Styela clava: one gene and its partner. The protein of the gene in region 2 purifies or fractionates together with the protein of the main gene of each other region. This does not show direct contact. Links are inferred from orthologs where the notes say so. Each region holds a gene or a part of one and is shown on either strand. Other genes may lie near its edges.

Evidence for each region. The genes of interacting proteins can lie anywhere in the genome.
Region 1: the proteins of translation initiation factor eIF2 assembly protein-like (region 2) and eukaryotic translation initiation factor 2 subunit 2-like purify together in Homo sapiens (affinity purification with mass spectrometry; 4 studies listed by BioGRID and IntAct, counting the BioPlex papers as one, with this or other methods). This does not show direct contact. The link is inferred for Styela clava from reciprocal best matches to the Homo sapiens genes CDC123 and EIF2S2.

The regions. Positions count from the first base shown.
Region 1 is NC_135262.1:17,201,160-17,211,862, forward strand, and holds the start of eukaryotic translation initiation factor 2 subunit 2-like, read right to left. Parts: upstream 4,130-10,703; 5' UTR 3,978-4,129; coding exon 3,948-3,977; intron 3,600-3,947; coding exon 3,479-3,599; intron 3,123-3,478; coding exon 3,018-3,122; intron 2,094-3,017; coding exon 2,059-2,093; intron 1,834-2,058; coding exon 1,734-1,833; intron 1,651-1,733; coding exon 1,577-1,650; intron 875-1,576; coding exon 726-874; intron 496-725; coding exon 439-495; intron 95-438; coding exon 9-94; intron 1-8.
Region 2 is NC_135258.1:10,862,819-10,873,814, forward strand, and holds the start of translation initiation factor eIF2 assembly protein-like, read right to left. Parts: upstream 3,954-10,996; 5' UTR 3,878-3,953; coding exon 3,795-3,877; exon of another isoform or gene 3,763-3,794; coding exon of another isoform or gene 2,722-3,762; exon of another isoform or gene 2,379-2,721; coding exon 2,228-2,378; intron 1,958-2,227; coding exon 1,813-1,957; intron 1,314-1,812; coding exon 1,204-1,313; intron 737-1,203; coding exon 538-736; intron 288-537; coding exon 259-287; intron 1-258. Other genes in the region: iron-sulfur cluster assembly factor IBA57, mitochondrial-like, read right to left, coding at 2,722-3,762; ubiquitin carboxyl-terminal hydrolase 44-like, read left to right, coding at 7,278-7,418, 7,493-7,719, 9,096-9,252, 10,273-10,430. UniProt on the Homo sapiens protein: ATP-dependent protein-folding chaperone for the eIF2 complex. Binds to the gamma subunit of the eIF2 complex which allows the subunit to assemble with the alpha and beta subunits.

The DNA of each region.
Region 1 (10,703 bases), on a different chromosome or scaffold from region 2:
AAACATACTTATGTAACTTCTCAGGACACTTTCAAGTTGTTTTTGTTGGAATCTTCCTTTTATAATGAGTTGATTGTTTCCGTCAACAGAACCACTAAAATAAAGAGTATATTTATATAAACTTGAAAACATATCCACTCAGACTTTGAATTGATTATAGTGAAAATTGCGTCACCAAGAAGCAAGAGGAACAGTTAGTCTGGTTGATTTATCCTGTTGCTTTGATTTATTTAACTCATTTCAAGAAATCGGAAACCCGACAGAAAATTATTTGAAAAATATCATTTGAAAGTACACTCAATGCAGTGGCATATACAATCAATAACAAATTAAACCTTTTTTCGTTCTTCAAATAATTCAGTTTTGAATGGAGTATGAATTCCAACGACAAGAAGCAAACACACTCACGACTAACAAATGGAAATAAATGCTACGAACCTCGTTCCAAGCTCAGCGAGAATAAAAGAAAGGCAATGTTTTGGTTGTCTTCGAAGGCTGTAAAAAGAAGAAAAATAGTAAAAAAATAAGCTCGAAAAATCATGAGAATACTAGAAATAATTCAAACCCGAAAATTTTATTTTTTAGAACTGCAACATTGCTCTTAGGTATACAGCGTATGAAATCGCTAAACACAGACCAACTACACATGGGCTCAAAATTTAGTAGTATGGAACACATTGATGAACAATTGCATTTCATGTGAGCATATGACTAGTTTAACTTACACTGCGCATATTTCTGTGAAGTTAATAAAAGAGGTTTTTCTTGTTCCAACACGAGCACATTGTGGGGGTCTCATTATAAATCTCTTCTTTTCACCGGCGACCATTTCTGGATTTTTTTTTCTCATGATGTCAAATACCCTTGCCAATAACTGAAATGAATAAATTAGACATTTTACACGGGATTTACAGTTAAATGAGCAAACAGATAGCCAAGTGTGCCAACTAAGTACATTTATCCATCAAATATTCATTTTTATTTACAATTCTTCTCCTGATAGAGGGACCAAGTAAGAAGATAACAGTTGACACAAGGGTACTCATATCATATATGAACAAACTTGGCTCAGACAAAAACATCAAATGAAACCACATTTTGTGTACCACGTGTTAATTACATTAACATATTCATAATAATAAAATAACACTTTAGCATATCAATAAAGGTGTTGAAGAAAAATCTGTTATTAACATTACTATAGATATCATGACATTTTAAATAAATTAACTGCCGCCCTCTCATCGTTATTCGGAATAGAAATACGAGTCTGCAGAAGTATTTACTCAAACCCAACTAATTCAGCCAACGATATACATGCAATGACATAACCAGGCCAAAATGAAGATACCAGGTTAGAGTTAGCCCATGATTTTATTCGATTTTTTCTTATTTTAGTTCTATTACGAGTTCGGGGACTGTCTGTGTTAGCCAGTGAATATACCCCCTGTCCATAAGATTCAGTCCCCTTACACATCTTGATGTAAAGTAAGCGAACAAAATTAGTTACATCTATATTGCTATACACACTCCTGGAGCGCCAAAATGGAAATATAGAATGTGTGAATTAACAAACCTCTTCATATGTATAGTCTCTATCTGTTCCTGCCCATGTTGATTCTCCTGGAGTTACATGAATTTCTTCTTGTTCTGAAATAAACAAATGAAACCCATGAAAATGTGTTAAATTATGCATAGAACAAATTTCGACAAAAAATTGACAAAACAAATACCATTTTGTTCCTCAACTTGGTCTGCGAAAGCAACTTCTTTGCCCTTTTTCTTTTTCTTCTTATGAGTTAAATCGAGTTCTTCTTCTTCTCCGTCTTCTTTCTATGGAACAAAACGTATTATCCAATAAGAATTGAGAACAGGAATAATACTTAGAACGGTGGACTATAAAAAGTATTCAGATATAAACTTTGTAGATAACTGATAAAAATGACATTCTATATAAATAACATTAAATTTAACTACCATACTGATGAGATAAAAACAACCAACACATAAAGTAACTCACAATACAATTTCAATAAAGAAAATATTAAAATAATTTACTTTTTCTTGAGCTGTGCCCTCATCCCCAGCATCACCTGCAAAATATGAATAAACAAGATATTTTAGATTTATTTATGCAGAGAGATGATAAAAATATTAAAAAAAACTTTTTCCTATAGGCACCCAAAGTTTTCACCGTAAGTTTCTACAGGTCACATAATGAAATGTATTGTTTTAATTCTGTTGGACCAAAAGTATTACATTGATGCAACATAATTTATTCATTTTTATTTACACCATTTTTATTTCACCTTTTCATCCTCGGAATAAGAGCAAACCACGAAAACAGTTTTATCGTCAATTAAAACACAATTTAAAGCACAAAATTAGTACCACTGCAAAAATTATATCCTACATTTTTAGGTCAAACAAAGCCAACAAAAATATTTTAGGCGAAAGGAATTTGTGCATCACTGTTTACACTATGACAAAAACTTGGTTATCACTTATCGATCTCGATCGGTAAGTATGTTGATAGGTATTTGTCTGTTAGACACTTTCGTATGTTACGCAATATCTCACGAAAGCGAAGTTGAATCTGCTCCAAATTTTGCATGTGCATACATCATATCTAGAAGCCTATTGATTTTGGATGAATTATGTCGTATAATTAGAGTTATTAATTAATTACTGATAGGACACGCAGTGTCTCTATTAAGTCAGAGCAAAGGAATCGAAACCGCAGATCGATAAGTCGGCGGTCTCCGATCGCAATCTAGTTGATCCTTTTACAACTTTGCTTTGCACAAGCTTGTGTTTGGGGCACTGTAACGTCATAGACATAGATAATTATTGGACTAGGCCTTGCAATGCAAAGGGTCGCAAGTAACAGATAAAACTGAATTAAAAAAACTTGTTTCACGGGCAGCACACTATTCAAAATTAGCACTTCTCCACAGGCCGCACTATTTTTGTGGGCCGCAGTTCGCACACCCCTGCACTAAATAACCCCACAATACCTGTTTCGTTTTTATCTTTGTCACCTTCACCATCTTCGTCATCCAGGACAAACTTCTTTTTCTTCTTCTTTTTTTTCAGATTTGTGAGTGATAATTCATCTTCAACTATAAAAAGAACATTTAAAATAATTTCTACCTATATTCCATCTCAAGAATTTTTCCTGCCAAAAAAATTCAAAGAGCAATCATAGTAAAAATGACTCAAAACTTGAGTCAAAAATGGAGCTGGACAGCAATTTTCAAATTTTATCAGATATCACATATTCCCGCCACGCTAATATTCTGTGGCTTATTATCTTATTTTTGAGAAAGTAACTGAGTGAAAATATTAAAAGATTATTTATCTTGTCACCGGATCGTATCATCATGTAATCACACATGGGGAAAATTTGCTAGAAATAGTAATTGTATTAACAAAGGTAGTCTTTTAACAGTTTTTATCATACTCTTAGTGGTAATACCTTCTGGAGCCGGAGTTTCTCCATTTTCTTGTTTTAGTACTTCGGTCGACTCTGTATTACCAATGAGTTCATCTAAATTTGCAGTCTTCTTTTTCTTCTTCTTCTTTGTTAATTCAAGATTCTGTGATTCAATAGTCAAAAAAAAAGTTCGAAGTTACACTCAACTAGTATACAGGGCTTTTTGGTTAGAAGGATGAAATATTACTATTTATCCTTAAAGAGGAAAGTAATCACGGATGTGGTGGCGAGCATATTCCAGTTCCTTATGACTGTATGCTTTGAGTGATGCCCCACACTGCATAGCTGATTAATATGAAATATGGGAAATTTATTTTAAGATCGGTACTCGGTATCCACATACCGTAGGTACAACTGTACAAAGCAAATTTCAGAACACAATGCACAGAATATAGAACATAACTCTGTAACTTCATGTTGCACCTGACAAATCTGAAATGCCAAAACTTACCATATCGTCATTGTCCTCTGCCGCGGCCATTGCTGATTTATTAATCAATTCGTGTATTTATGAAAAAAACTAATATAAATAAGGAACTTGTTAGCTGAACAAAAGAACTGAGAGCATACGGTCCAAACAGCTCCACTGCAATTTCTGCGTTAAAACGTGAGCAAGACCTCGTCAACGAATGACGATTTCGCAATTTTTCATAACAGAACAGATGGTGTTCGGTGTTGCGTGAAGGGTGGATCTCATTAAAATTTCTTAAAATTGCATCATTTTTACATTGAATCAGTCGTACATTCAATTACTTCATGATCAATCAATTTTTGACAAACTTTTTACTTGATATTTGTTGTCGAAATATTGCCAATAATGACATCCATAATACGGTGCTCACTCAGCCGTTAAAAAAGAAATCATTGCATCAGCCATATAGAAAAGGGAACGCAGTTGGCGTAGTGATACCAGAGCCATTATATAACGGCTTTGGTGATAGTGACCACGGCACTTGCCACGCTGCCCTTTGCGATTTTCTCAAAATTATGGTGACTATGGATGTTTCTCCGAGCGTCGATTCCCTTGTTTATTTTGTACCAATGAACAATCAGCAATAAGTCAACAATGGAACTTTGTGCAGTCGCTCGTACACTTTATTTCGGCCTCACTTTCATTATTAAATTTAGAATATTAAATTGTCGACTCGTACATATACATTTTATCTCTATTTTTTATCCATATTTCATCGCCAATGCTTTATCTGACTGATTTTTATATACAGCATGGATCAGGAACCTCGGTGACTGAAACGGCGCGGATTTGACAAGCCAACCTTTCATTCCAGGGGCATAGTAATAGTTTAATTTAAACGTTTTCCATACCATTGTGGGTAGATTACGGGCCTAAAAATTAGCTGTAAATACTTTTAAAAAATATCCTCTATGACTATAAGTCTTTGCTTCAAATAATTGAAATCGTTCAACTCATTAGAAAACTTGCACTTTGTTTCCGGCACTTTGATAATTCAACGACATTCGGGTGTTAAATTAACGCATGGTTCATACTGTCATATCCTAACCATGACGCAAATATTTTTCTCTATATCTGAACTAGTCAAGTGAGACGCGAATCAGTGGTGAATCGGATGCCTCCGTTAAAAACATTTAGTAGTTTCAAATAGAAAAACTATTTATGACTGTCATACTGCAAAACCGTAAACCACATTCAAGTCTTTCGGCGGGACGGCGGAAAACATGCTAAAACCGGGACGTATGGTAAGCCTAGAAATTAGTCCCGAAAAATCTGCGACAGAATAGGCTAAAACTGACGTGTTATGACCTATGGAAATTTATTCGGTCAATCACTTTTACATCGTACATTTTAGTTTACAAATATATCTACTGCTGTACAAAGTTAAATTAACAGTAACTGTCTCATATTCCAATGTCAGAGCAGATTATGGAGGAGGATAATGCGTAATTTAATTGACTCGACATGAAATGAATGCAATAAAATTTCTCTCCCAGTTTTTCGATATCTTTCTGTTATTAGTATAACGAAGTTGTACCCATGTCTGTCAGAAATAATACAAACAAAAAAAGCAAAATTGGCATTTCTGTACTGGTATGTATATATACCCCAGCATCGTCCTAAAAAAAGGTTAATGTAAATGATGAAAACAAAATGTATAAAACTGATCACAGAATCGGGAGAGCAAACAAAACTTAATAGTGAGTGGTACGTGTTCGCTCACACAAAAGTCCAAGAAAAACTGCTTTAAACACTCCAAAAAGAGGAAAAACTTCAGATGTAATAATAATATAGTAAGTTTATTTCGACTCCATAATAAGCATAACAATACATTTGACAGATAAAAACAAATAAATAAAAACTGATTATGAAATCAGGGGAGCAAACGAAACCTTAGATAAGGTTTATAACGTACAAAATATAAGATGGGAGGTTTTGCCAAGAGGAAGTGGTACGTGTTTACTCACCTAAAATGATTAAGTTATTTCACACACGCTGACATGCACACACACTCAACCACTGAGAAGTTATTTTAAGTCAGAATAAAACGCGATAAATTTAGGGTAGACTATAGGGCAGTAAACAAAAAAAATAAAAATAAATACTAGAGAAAGAAAAAAAAAATTATTTGCCACTACATATGGATAATTTTGTAATGGTTGCCATTGCCAAATTGATCGATCTTCTAATCGTTAATTAAAATATAAAAGGAAGATTCTATTGAAAACATATTGCCAAGCTGATTATAGTTGGAGTCAAATGCCAAGTTGCCCAATCAAAGTTACCAGAATTGGGTGCATGAAGAGGTGGGCGAGACCATTTCATTCCCCAAGTTAGAGCCTATTATTGCCAAATTATAGTCCAGATTGTAATAAGTAATTAAAGTTACCGGTAACAGTAAAATTACTATAATTAAGTAAAGTAGGATATGGAAATAAATTGGTTACAAAGGGTGTAAGTGAGGTTTTTCATTTTTGGGTATTGATTTCAGACAAGGATATAGGAATAAGATTGTTATTTCACAGGATATCAGAGTCTTTGTTTGATTTTTTTCTTATGTGTTTTACTTCATTTAATCACTTTGAAGAAACCTGAAAAACAAAAAATAAAACTGCGAGTAGATGTTTCAATGATTTGGTGAAGGGGAACAAGCTGAACTATTTATTACAGGCAAAAAATAAGTGTTTAATTAAATGGGATGTATTGTCATTATATAGCGATGGATAGATGATCTATGATGACATTCTGCCTGGGACAGAGAAAAATTTATCACACCATGCAAAAAACACACAAAATTTTACTATCTATACCTTGGCCAACATGTCAACTCAAACACCAATACCCTGCCTTAACATAAAATGCATGCATACATAAATGATATAAAAACCACATCCAATTAAAATGACCCACCGCAAATTAAAATCTGAAGGGGAGAATCCAACATAGCTCTACTACTCGCCTTGTTGCAATGATTAGTAACCTTGCAGGAACTATATTATACATCTACAACCCTTACACCACCACTCAAACATAAGACCATGCATGTATGATAAGGACATCACAGCTAGAAAAAGGTAAAAACACGAGCGTGAAGTGATAGAATGTGTGCAGTTATTTAAAGATAATATTATCCAGGTATGACAGCTACCTATATATTTAAAAAAAATATACTCATGCATGTCACAATACCATTTTTTGATGCTGGACTAGGTCTGGCCAAGTCATGGCAAGATATAACCATATTATTATAGCTGTTCAACATTTTCATTAAAACAATAATGTGCAAGGGTGGAGTGGAGTGTCCCAAGTTTTTGTCATCGAATACCGCCATTAGTAATTTTAATATTTGCAAACTAAATGAGACTTGACTTGTTTTTGAAAAGATTTTTTGGACTTTAACGTCTTCAAATTTAGGGGAAGAGAATTCCAAAGTTTGGGTCCAGTAAAAGACAAGGAATGCTGACTCACAGATTTACTCATGAAAGGTACGAATAAATCAGAACTACTTCTTCGGTTGGAGGTATTTTTGACAAGTATGTCGTTAAAGCAATTGGGCAGCGCATTATTAAGGAAATTGTAATCTAGGGATAATATTTCAAATTTCATCATATCTTCAACCTTAAATATATTTAGTGATTTGAAGTAAGGGTCTACACTTTCACGTTTTCTTTTACCAAAAACTATTCTTAAAAAATTATTACAAATACTCTGCAGTTTTGAGACAAGTGTTTTATTACCATGAAGCCAGACTGAACAACAATATCGAATATGGCTAAGTAGTAATGATTGAAACATTGCTAGTAGAGCTGATTGATCAACACACTTGGATACTTTGGCAGAAACTGCTAGGTTTCTTTTAGTTTTACGAATAACATGCATTATTTGTGATTTCCATGACAGATTTTCATCAAAGATAACTCCTAGAAATTTTATTTCTTTCCCTCTTTCAATTTCATTGCCATTGAGCAGTAGTTTTTTTGAACAACTCACACTTTTATGCTTGCTTGGATGGAATAATACAAATTTAGTTTTGTTAGCATTAAGAGATAATTTATTAACTAACATCCAGCTATGAATGTCGGTTAGTTCTTGGTTTGCAACTGTGAATAGATCTTCAAGGTTTTTCCCATGAAGAATCAAATCAGTGTCATCAGCAAACATGATCGACTCAGAGGATTTCAGACACCTGGACATGTCATTAATGTAAGCTAGAAAAAATAATGGGCCAAGTAAAGATCCTTGTGGAACTCCGTGCTTCATGACACAAATATTTGTAGACAATGAGTTGTCATATTGCACAATTTGCTTCCTGTCTTGAAGGTCCTGATCCAATTGAATGGGACGCCTCTAATTCCATAGTGATAGAGCTTAGTTTTGAAGATTTTAATGAATAATCCACTAGATAGTGAGTGGTTGAGTATATATGCCTTGATATCAATGATATCTTCTGGAACATATTACTGCAATATTTTGAATGGAGTACAATCGATTCCAAAACTTGAGTTGGACTTTGGCAGTTCGCATAATTATGATGCAGTTGGCTATTGATTGCAATGATGTAGTTGACCTCAATAACATAGATGGGAATACCTGCTTTCCAAGATATGAGAGGTGTTTTTTTGTCATAGCTAGCTGGTTGAGCCATATTGTCAAGCAATCTTTGTGTCACTTGGGTAAAGTACTAAATTTATTTGCAATTTGTGTACTACCGCAGTCGAGTTCAACAGATGGACAGAAATTGCTTTTATTTTCACCAATTAGTTCATTAATTGTTTTTCACACTGCCTCGATTTGATTTCTTTTTTGGAGTAGTCGAGCTTGAAGATTCCTGCATTCATTATATATTGTGATTTGTGTCATCTATCTTTTTATTATTAATTAGTTTCTTATACAGTTTTTGTTGATTTTGCGTAGCTCAGTATCGTACCAAGGTTTGGATATTTGGTTTGTCTGTTTTGCTGTGTAGAAACAAATCAAAACATTATATTATTTATGGTGCGACAAAACTAAACAAACAACAAAATAAACCAGACTAAAATATGACATGAGGCATAGCCTACTGCTGATTTTAACAGTGGTGTCATTGGCTAAGTCACAAGTTTGACAGAAAGTGAGTGGGAATCCTGGGAAACCAACAAAGAGGGCCACTTTCGTGTTTCACAATAGCAGTGAAAGAGATATAAAAGTAGCTGTTTCCTAATGGCGTTGTGGCAAACAAAGTGCGAACACTCAAAAAAATGATTTGTTAGCCTGAAAAATTTCTTTATTGAAGATTAGGTAGCAGATTGGCAAACAGTAATCACAAAACCTGGACCAGTCGAAAATTACAATGCGTCAATTTTCGCATGCACCCCTGACTGACGATTCAAACGATCTGGGACTAGTGACGCATGATCTAGCTCACGCATAAATCAAGTTCTACCGGTCAAGTATATCACCCCTGAAGCCAACAAGTCTATATACACTTGACATGTTATTTTTTAAGTATAATATTCTTCTAACCAGCATTACCAACTACTTTAAAAGTTATGTAGCTCGCCAATCTCATGAATTGAATATATATACAGAGAAGAATATTGCCACCATACCTTTATTGAACAATGGAATAAAGAAACATGATAATAACGTTTTGGTTTCCACATGATATTATTTTTCACAATACAGACAGAATATTATTATGATGAATTGTAGTTAACTATAGTCTAAATATATATATTTTCCCATGCACTTTTCTTTTGATTTGTAATGTTTTGAATGTTTCCTCGAGCAACGGCTTCCTTGTTTAGTTCTTCTGCAATAATGACAAATTAGCACATCGACGGTGTGGTGAAAATGGAAGTTTGTGAAGCAATCCAGACATTTTTCCCAGCATATTTGTAAGCCGTTTTTATGACTATTACGGGTGTTTGACAGTTTTTAGGTATTTTGGGGGAATTTAGGATCGACCAAAATAATTCGAGGGATAAGTATTTTTCCGACGAAGTTTAGTCTAGTTCATTCGATCAAAAATTAGTCCTGAAAAGGCTGCGAAAGAACGATTAAATTAGGTATCAGAACTGAATAACACGTAGTTAAATGCTATTGAGTGAGGATTTTGGTTATGAATAAATACATAACACAGTTTGTAATCGGTAGCTCACAAAAACACTTTGGGGAAAGATATTAACCAGAATTTTTTTTTTAAACAACAAATAAAATGGGTAGCTTAGTGCTAAATTTGTCTTGTGTGATAACTGCATTAGCTCGAAATTACCAAAATTTCGCAACATTTTGGCACTTCAGAATCAATAATCATCATTAAATCACACATCAAACTAAATATCAGCATTAAAATTTGTTTATCAGTGTCAGTCCTCGTTTTATATATGTAAAAAAATAAAGTAACCATTCGGTCATCTAATATTTAAATACGATGGAACGCTTCTTGTTACTTTCAAAAGATAATATCGTCACGCTAATAACCGAATTGCGTAAGTCATTTTTGGCGATTTTGAGTTTTTTATAAAATAGGTATTTATGTAATGCTGCGCACCTGTCTGTTACCTCAGATTTTATTTTAAGAGTTCTGAAACCCATAAAAATGGAGATTTAGTATGACATGCACATTTGTGCAATTGTTTCGTCATAATGATTTATCATTGTTACCGCAGTACTATTGTGACGTCACAAAGGCAAAATAACCTCGGCTATGTATTTTTGAGTTTTTGCATCTCGGATTCTAGCTAAGTGCGTATT
Region 2 (10,996 bases):
CAGCAAAACATAGAAAGCAATTGCAAACACAACTAGAGTTAGTAAATGAATGAATTTAACCTAAATTCTTAATCAACCTAAGTCTAGTCATCAAGGTAAAAAGCATAAGCTATATGTCCGCCATCTTGGTTCACATACTTCGGGAATACCATATTTCCTATATTACATCATGATCATCTAATTTACCAATTCAGAAATCCGAAACTGAAAAATATATTTTCTAAGAACAATGATCTAGTTAAATCTATTAATACTCACATCTCTCTTCTTGTAGATGTCAACAACATCTAAAAAAAATTGGGTTATTCAGTACTTTTGAATCATTAAAATAACACAGGTACTAGAGAGAATAGTAATGTAAAATTTTGCCAATGGTTATGGCATATTGGCATTCTCTAATCCTTCATGAGATTCAGATTTGTAGCACTCACACAAAGTGATCATTGGTTTAATAATGATTGTCAAGTCTGTAACATAATAAATCATTTTTAGACACTTTATATTTCATTCAATCATTTTCTTTTACAAGATACTCACAATTAGAATTATTAAATTTATGTTGAATTTTTTCTTGAAAAAATCTGCAAATTTCTACAGGTAAAGACTGTTGTTGGCTTTCAACATATTCATAATATTGTTGATGATGTCTCTGACACGCAGCAATGAGTTTGTGGTTTCGTACAAAACATCTGAATTCCATTCCAGGTACTAAGTTTGCCCATTTCCTCAAAACCAACTGAAAATATTTAATAAATCTGATAAGAAAAAAGATACGGTTTTATTTTGGATCACATTTTCATAAATTTTATTTTGTATTGTTCCATCTGACCAAAGGCAGACTTCCTCAGACAAACAGTTTACAATAATGATAAAAAAAAAAGAACAATTATAGGATGCATTATACATGCATGATATTTATGACAATATTTGCTGATATCAATATTCCGATGCTTGGAAATTGCTGATTTGATGCTGATGCTGAAATTGTTAATCTAATTTAATAATCAGATTATTAAAATTTGACATCCTTGCAGTGGGAACATGATTTATGTCAATATCATGTAATATAAATCTCAATAAAATATTCTAATTTAAATTGAATAAAATTCCAGAAAACATACAATTCGGGTGTGAACATCCCTTCTGGCGGAAAGAACGACATATATATAATTTTGAACAAATTATAAAAGATTAAAATCTTACTTCTTTCTGGAATTGTGGATCTGGTATTGAATCATCAGTACATAGTTTAAATGGAGATGTCAAATCGTAAGTGATGAAGTCGGAACTTTTCATAAGTAAAATGATGTCACCTGATAAAACAATAAATATAGAAAAGAATTCAATTTCACGAAGCAGTATTTTGAACTCTAATTTCTGATATTTGGACACACTTTAAAAAATATATTGCTGTACGAAGATTGTTTATAATTATTAAACAAATGAGCAAGGTGATTCGAGTGCATCATAGGAATAAATCGAACAGATTCTAATTGATAGTTCCTCTTTGATGTAATAATATTTGTGTCGGCATGATACGCAATCAGTGAAAAGTTTGAAAATATTTTCAACAACAATTAACATTAACTGCCCAAGTTTTGGCATCAGGCATTCTGTAACAAGCAGAAGCAAAAATGCTAGTAGTAAGCCTCATCTATGTTGGCAATAATGGCTAAGGGTCAATCAGGACCATTGTCCTCAGACAGAATGTAACAAGGAAGTAGCCAAACCTAGTTTCAAGTTTTTCCAGACATAGTGGTGTATTCAATAACAACCCTATTTCATGAAAAGGGTATAAAAACATAAAGTCACCTGGAGTGTTACACTTCAAACTATTATTCGATGTTATCCAAATAGCATCTTTGGGTGAACTCCAATTCAATTTTGGAAATGATTTCCAATTTAATTTCTCTAAAACTTCTTTGATTTGTTCCAGAAGAGCAGTGAATTGAGGTGCCTGTAAACAACAATTGTCTTCTTCAATTGCTTCTCCATAAGTATATAAACCACAATCCAATATTTCCAAGCAAAAATATTGCAATCCCAGTACTGGTATATTTTGAAATAGGTATATAATATATACATATACCAGAATTTTTTTGTAATAAATCTTCTGAATTAGTAAGTTAGGATAATTATGAATCCATTTTTTCAAATTATGACTGAATTTGGCGTCCCTACAAAGGCAAGAATATCACAGATTCGAAATCTTAGAAAATCTTCAAACCTCATTTTCATTTTGTGTTTCGTCTTCATCTGACCAATTTTCATTATCATCGAAATTACTTTGTATACTTAAATCAGCACCTTTTGGTAATATCAATGGACCATCTTTTTGCAAATATTCAACAAAATCATCCGGCAATGGTATAATAAAGCTAAAAAACAAAAATCCACAAATGACAGCCATCGATTATTAAACACATTTGAAGTGAACAATTACAGTTCTTCAACATATTCAGTATTAAGAGTTCAATAGCCTGAAAATTATGAATTTCAATCTAATAGTTAAATTATATTAGGAAATTTAGTGTTATTTACTGATATATGTCAAAAACTAATTTACATTGCATCTAGTATAAATCAAATTCACTATATAATTTAAAAGAATCCTCGAAAAATAAATCAAAGAACTGTTGAATTCAAATTAATACGAGAGATTAAAAAGCGATAAATGTAAGCAAAAAATAGATGAATATTTGTTAAATCGAAATAAAAAGATCATATGTTTTCCTCTGTTGCTGGGCCACAAACTCCGTCAGAAAATTCAGTGCCATCTTCAGATGGCCACCACATTGGAATATGACATCGAAATTTTAGCTGACCATCTTTTGAAGAAAGTGTCTCTCCTGAGTAGTTCAGTCTCACTAATGCAAGACCTACTTTACCATCAGAATGCATTGATCGAAACTTTCCTGCACTTTTTCTCTTCTCTGTGTATATTGAAGACCCAGATTCAATAGATCCTTCTCCTTCTATGCTCACAGGAACAAGTCGTTTTCTAATGACACCGGTGAATTTGGTACGAGCTGTGAGCTCTTGACCAATATAACATCCTTTATGAAAGCTGACACCATTCATAAAATCAAGATTGCATTCCAAGGGCAGACAAGTTCCAGGTGGCAAATCTAACGGACCCTCTGGAACACCAATGTAATGTCTTTTATGATGATATGCATTAATATCCATGTTAATTAATGCAGAGTCACTTTCTGACATATTTTCAACCACCAGTCTATGCCCGAGCATTGGGACCCTCGGGTCAATGGCAGAAGTGACTACATTGCTGAACTGTGGAGAAATATGAAAAGAATTTCCAGACATTGCCTGCACCACCGATAGATTATCTCTGGGTGTAATACTCAGTTTTTTTCTCAGTTTATATAATTTTAAAATTTTAATGATACTTTCGGAATTTGACGACTCACATTCAAGAAGGACTTTGTTTTCTGTGTCGTGTTGTTGATGATATAACATAATATCATGCATAATGCGTCCATGTTGGTTTAAAATCATTGCATACATGCATTTCATTTCAGGGAGAAGTTCAACGTCATTGGTTATAATCCCTTGTAAAAAATTGGTAACATCCCGTCCTTCGAGTTCAAGTAAACTCCGATGTTTCAAATGAGCATATCTGACATTATCCTGATCCTTGTCAACAATATGCATATGCCTTGCACTAGACAGCATTTTTGATTTCGAACAGAACCGCGGAAAGATACGTCGTAATAGTGTAACTCTTGACATAGCCAAAGACATTTTAAATAAAATAAGATTTCATCAACTCCTACCTTTTTATTGTGATGTCTGAAAATTGTGAATACCATTTTGAGAACATGCAATTCATCACATGTTCTTTTGTTAATGTTGTCATATTGTAGTATTGTTGAGTTTCAAATTTTGAGGAAGTTTAAGTATACCTTAATACCAGTCAATCAATAATTTTTCTAAAAAAAGTTTTGTAATCTCATGTTTATATTGACTTCAACAATCCATATTTAAAAAAAAAGATATGACTTTATTGGCAAAACTAATATATAATAAAATACAGAATATGAAAGTTCTTCATGACCACTAACAGACTACTAGAATTGCATGAACAAGAGGACAAGAGTAAAACTGTAAAATGAGACAGGCATGGTGAAAATAGATACCTGGATCTAAAGAAGCGAGTGCCTTGACGATTACGCCCCTATCCAGTTATCTGTAAATATAGTAAAGATAGTTGGGCACAATATGTCTATCTCTCAGTCCTCCATGCAGACGCAGTGATGTAAGAAAGCAATCTGGTATTTTTGTATTTCATTATTTGTCAAACAAGTATTACTGTATTAACATTCTTGAATATCTGTCTGAGCGAAACAAGTGTCTGAGTGGCCTCACTAACTTTACAGCTTTAATTGTTACGTCAATCTGTCAATATTAACTCATTGCCGATAGGCCATTAGGTATTACTGCATTACGGAAAGAAACATGGAAATTGATGCTCGTGGAAACATCCATAGCTTCCTTCACCATCAGATCCTAATTCAGTACGGTACCGGTAGGCTACCGTATTTTCACGCTCCTGGCAATGCAAACAAAAACTCAGTCAAAAGGAAAAATTTGTCTCAATTATTGAGTTTATATCTGAGTTATGCAAGTAAAATAAAAAATTAACATAAGCTGCGGCAGACGGGTCCAAGGACACTTGCAACAACATCGTGATCTTTAAATTTTGTGTCTTACCCGACATCTCTTTCAATTCCAAATATAGGCCATCCATACAAAGGTACATATGGTCTTTGGTGCGCACGATGCTAAGCGTTACGGTATCATAGCGCCTGTGATAATCATACACGGCTCGCAGCTGGACTCTTCGCAGTCTGTAGTGGTGGTAGCAAAATAGTCAAATTAGGGATGGCCGAATACGGTCACTGGGCGTCAAATTGGAGATGGAAACTGCTCGGTAACACCTACATGAAGTCTATACACCTGAAACAAATACATGACCAACTTGAGCCACCGTGTGAGAACTGAGAAGATGGTGGTTCTACTCTACACCAAATGCTTATTGTCTGCTACACGGAGATAAATATGGGAACCTATCCATTTAGTTATGGATCGAATCTTATATTCTTAATCGGAAAAAAACACGTCTGCTTCAGTGAGTCATTATTACATAGTGTTGAGCATTGCGAATGCAGAATATATCAGGACTGATGCGATTACTGGTACTTGATTTTATGGAAATCATGTGCGAAAACACGGATTCGTTTTTTCCGAAAGCAATGTATGCGAGAAAAGAACTTCAAAGTAGCGTTTAGTTCTCGTATACCCCCAAAACATTCCGGGACTCTCGTTGGTTCATATTCCACCGAAAAAGAACATCTGTAATAAGACTAATTATGAGAAATGAAAGATCAATTTCATTGTTATGTCATAAACGTTTTAATGGCATTGCTGCTAACTACATACAGGTATATTACAGTAGTTGACTTGTCGGCCGGTTATTATCAGTTTTCATTATGGAAATGTTGGTAAGTTTTGTTTTCATTAATTCGTGATTTGGTGACTCACCGAAAAAGCATGCTTCAATTGCAGTGAGCGTAAGTGGATGTAAATTCGTATTTCTTACTTATGACTAACTGCTTGCATCATTTTGTCATTTCCACCCCTTCTCAAAATGCCCGTTGGACCTTTTTATTCGGGAAGCACCTCGGCGAGAAAATTATTACGCAACAAACCCTTTGAGAAACCAAGCACCGCCCTGGCAAGTTTGCTCATCGTCAAACATTTATCACGTGCCCACGCTCATCCACGTTTGTCTGGTAATTTATTCTCTCCTACAAACGAGAGAAGAGAAAAAATGAAAGATAATGGGACTACTGGAGCATGACAGGTGACGTCACCATACAGAGTTATTTTTGCTGGAGATGGTTGGGCGAAGGAAGTCGTTGCCCGCGTTCAATGCTTTGTTCATTGCAGTTAGAGCGGAATTTCGGTCATTTGCGTAATGTTGTTAATGAATCTATATGTTAGATGTGAATGCCATGAATTTTGACAGATCGACTTGGTATACCTTACCCTGCAAGCCAGTTACTACTCCAGTACTCAGCTCAAAAATAGGCAAATCCAGCTGCAGAAGCGTGGTGACGTTGCTGTGATATCCTAGTATCCTGGTATTTAGATGTCATAAGTTGATACCCATGGTTCGTTTCGTGCTTGTAAAAATGCTGTAATCTTTATTGTTAAGTATAGTTTTTTTCAAATTAATATGGGTAGCCTATGTACCTGATTTAAAACTTACAAGTGCAATTAATTTCAGCAATACCCAAATCTGTAAATGCAGCCAGGTGTCAAAACATGCCATTTTTGAAGGTTCTATGGTACTAACCTAGTAATGAAATAGCCTAGCCTACTAACTGCTTAAAAATAAACAGAAGAACATTATTCTAAAACAGATAGCATCTTGTAGTTCAGTAGTTTGTTAGTCTTGTGTTATTGTATTGATAAGTTCTTCTTTGACCGCTTGAGGAATCAGATGTTGTTGGTTCTGTGGTTTGGGAAGTGGACAGCAGGATTTCCGTATTTGCCAAACATATTGTTCACATACGGCCATTTATATAAAATTGATGTTCTACATAAATTATAGAGTAATTTACATTACACAATCAGCACGGCTGTTGAAAAACTAAACTAAGATTTTCACATTGTTACGATAGATGTAAAACGAATTAGTTATAGAGGCATTTACTACTAAAATACGGCACACTAAACAGATCGAGAGACATTGTCTCGTTCCAAAGAATCCCATTTTGCGGATGAACAAACACTTCTCCTTTCGAGGACGTCTGGACATTGTTGTCCCTCAATATACGTTAAAATGAAATTGGGCAAAAAACTACAGAGAAGCGCAATCTAAAAACGTCATTGTTGAATTCCTCTGGAAAAAATAATAAGGAATCAGAAGGAAAAACTTTCTACCGTGGCATTCGAGAGTTTTTAGCAAAAACAGCAATTTTGATCATGCGACGGCCACGATTAATTTACATTATTATCGGGGCACACATGACGCCATATGGCACCTCTATCATTGTGTTAGACGGCCCTCGTTTGTGAGACAGATGGAGTGTTTGTTTTATTGAACCAAATGACGGGACATTCTTGGAATTCGGAAAGTGTGCTGTACTGTATTATTTTTATACTATGTTGAATGTTTTACTTCATTTTTTATATTGTGCAGCTGTTGAAACTTCTGACTAACTTAGTTGACGTCAAAACACAGATCTGTAATGAAAAACAACGCTAGCAGTGTTCGTATGCCATCACCACGTCAAAATGCCGATAAATCTTCCCCAAAACGAGGATCTAAATCTGATAATCAGAATTTGAAGTTGCAAGGTGGTTGCAAAGGTGCCAAGCCGTGCACAAAGGTACCTATAATTCCATGTATATTAATTCTATAATAATAACACGAACATATCTATAATTATTGAAATTTATTTAGGGTGGAGATACAATTGTTAAACAAGAAGAAAATTATCTGGCGAGATGTACAAATTTTCGGTTGACAACTGGTTATGAATTGAGCATTTGTAATTGTAAGCATATTCGAAAGATTCGAATTGGAGAACGACATTCGATTGTGAATCCTCAGCGATGGTTATGTGAAACATGCTTCACAACAGAATCTGTATGGGCGTGTCTAAGTTGCCCGAATGTAGCATGCGGCAGGTACGTATCTGAAGCCTACACTCTGTATGTTTTACTGTGATATGTTGTTATTTTTCGATATCCCTGTTGCGTCAATTAGTTTCAATAACACAAATTTTACTTCTGCAAATTCACAAGCTCACTCGCACATGATAGAAACTCACTCAAGAGTAGAGAGATATATTTCCTGTTTTGTGTCTTTGTACTCAGCACATTAATAAGGTCTTGTATCATCAATGTTTTTAGTCAATCCTATATACTTTTGAATAAATTATTAACTTATTGCTTTCGGACATAGATGGACCAGATATTAGCATTCCTAAATGATCAATCAACTGCATGAAAGCTCTAATTTTTTTTGCCATTTGAATTTATATACATTCATCATTTGTATATATTTATTTCATTAATTTGGTAAGTGAGATAAAATTTCTATTTGATAAAGGAATGTATTTCAAAATGATTGTATGTGAATGTGTTCATACAACTGGGTTCGAAATCAACAAATTTACAAATGTCAGACAATTGTATTTGTTCGATAATTCATCTGCTCGCGTCAGGAAATTATATCTGTCTTTGGAGCCCTCTTTTTCACTCATAATATGACATCAGAATTTTCCGTTAGTTTTGGCCAGTTGTGACTAAGCTTTAAGAAAGTTCTCCAATACTGTAATTGCTAAGCTGGCTATTACCAAATATTAGTTTGTTATACTAAATCAAGTTTGGGCCAGACATAAGATATCAAATCATGAAAATATAAGGATGAACTTTCACCTGGTATTAAATTGGTTATAAAACAAAAGGTCAATTTGTCCTATATTAAACGAGTGGTTATGCTCTAAAACAGTGGTTCTCAAGATTTTTGAGCCGAGCCCCCTTTTTAGAAAATCCCAAGTCTCATGCCCCACCTCAAAAATAACTAGCTAACAATAAGCTACGAATAACAGATAGTAAGGCGAAAGTATGTTTTATTTATAAAGCATGTTGGAAATACGTGTATACGTGTACGTGTATACATAATAAAGAAATGTTTGAGCACTACTGTCTAAAAAAAGGCTTTCTCAAACTTATTTAGTTCCATATAATATTAAATAGGCATATTGTTTTTTTATTCGACCTATTTATACACCTCTCTGGGCAAGGCTCTGTATAAGCATCCGATAGGTAAGAACCTATGATATTTTGGAAGGACCAGATTCCTTGCAATTCGTCATTGCCTATCCAATTTATTACAGTCTGAGTAAGGTGTCATACATAGGATTTGAACCCAAGATTTTTAATCAGTAATATTACTTCAGCATCTTTACCACTTGGCCATTGCGCCTATTGTATTTGTAACAAATAAACAAGAATACGTGGTACTGAATATATGTAATGTAAAAAATTTTGTTTTGCAGGTTTATAAAAGAACACGCCCTAACACATTTTCAAGAATCTGGTCATCCACTGGTTATCGATGTCAATGAACTGTATGTTTTCTGTTATAAATGTGATGATTATGTGCTTAATGATAATAATTCCAGTGACATCAAAGTCCTCAGAGAAACTCTTTTGGTAAGAAATTGGAAGGAGTAATGTCGTTAAGATAAATTTTAATTTAATGCTCTACCGGAAGATATTATATGAATTAATAAAATCAGAACGCAATTTCATATATGTACTATAGATAGAACGGATTCGTGATTGAATCTTTGTTGGAAATTTGTTTTAGTAAAATCTGCTAAACAAATTTTGTGATTTTGCCAGAGAAGAAGTAGAAAATTTTTTTATAGTATTGCAATTTGCAGACATGTTAAGTTTTTTTCCTTACGTTTCCAGATGTCAAACTAATTTTAATTTCACCTCATTTATTATTTTTGATTTGATGTGTTATGTAGTAAAATCATGAGACATGTCAGAATGTATTATATAAAATAATCTGAACAAGGCTTTCTATAAGCAACTCTGAAATGAAGGATAACTACTATGTTTCTGGTTTGGCATTACCTTACCAACTTATTACACCTTGGGGGAGGTGATTGCCATGGAATCTAAACTCAAGATTTGGGGCTCCCGAAGTATGCGAACCAAGATGGCGGACATCGGAATGTAATATGTGTACTAGGTTAGGGTTAGGCCATAATTTTATGTATAAATACTACGGGAGGCTCTTGACTAGTCTTCGAACTGATAATAGGACTAAAATAAGGAAAATTGGAAAAAATTATCGCCTAACCCTAACCTGTTGCCCATGTTACGTTCCGATGTCCGCCATCTTGGTTCGCATACTTCGGGAGCACCCAAGATTTTTATCTGCAATGCCAACATATTTCAGTCCAACCATCGCTTTGATACATAGACTTTTGAACCCACAAAACCCACCCGACCTGATTATATAATTTTATATGACAATGGCAAGTATTTGGCAGCAACTTTTCAGATAACTCTCTATAAAACGACATATAAACTTCACGATTATCAATATAATAAATTCAATTTAGATCGTGATTAGTAAATGAACTACCAAGTAATTTCGACCCACCCATATAAATTATTTAAATTCACGATCACCAACATTCATATATTCTCATCCAGGCCATTCGATACCAAAACTTCACTGGAACAACTCGCAGTGGTCATACTTTAAGGTCAGCAATGATCACTGAACAAGTTGATGTTGAAATGAGAAGACAAATGCAACAAGAACAATTAGACAGAGATGACAGACTTTTCACTGCTATTTGGCATTCTAGGTTGGTTGTTACTCTTTCGCCTTACCTCTGTTATCAAAAAGTCAATAATCAATGAAGTTAAGATATCCATCGTGTTCATTAGTAATACCAAATGAGTTAATAGTCAAGGAAGAAGTCTAGTTACCTTGGCACCAACACAGCCTATTTTAAGTTATTTGTGCAACAAGCTAGTAAATTTTCGGTTTTAGAACAGCAACATCATTCTACGTGTTATATGGTTAATCATATTACACCAATTATTTTTGCTATTTCAAAGACTATTCGAAAAATAACCTTAAACACTTATTACAATCAGTGTACTAAATTTCAAACAAAATTAGTATTTAAAGAGAAGATTATATAAGAGATTACTATTAAGAGAAGAGATATATTCCACATAATTACTTATCGATTTCAATCGGTAAGTATGTTGATAGGTATTTGTCTATCTGTTCGTCTGTTAGATGCACGCGATATCTCATGAAAGCGAGATTGAATCTGCTCCAGATTTTGCATGTGCATTCATCATATGTCGGACCAGAAGCCTATTGATTTTGGATGAATTATGTCGTATAATTAGCGAGTTA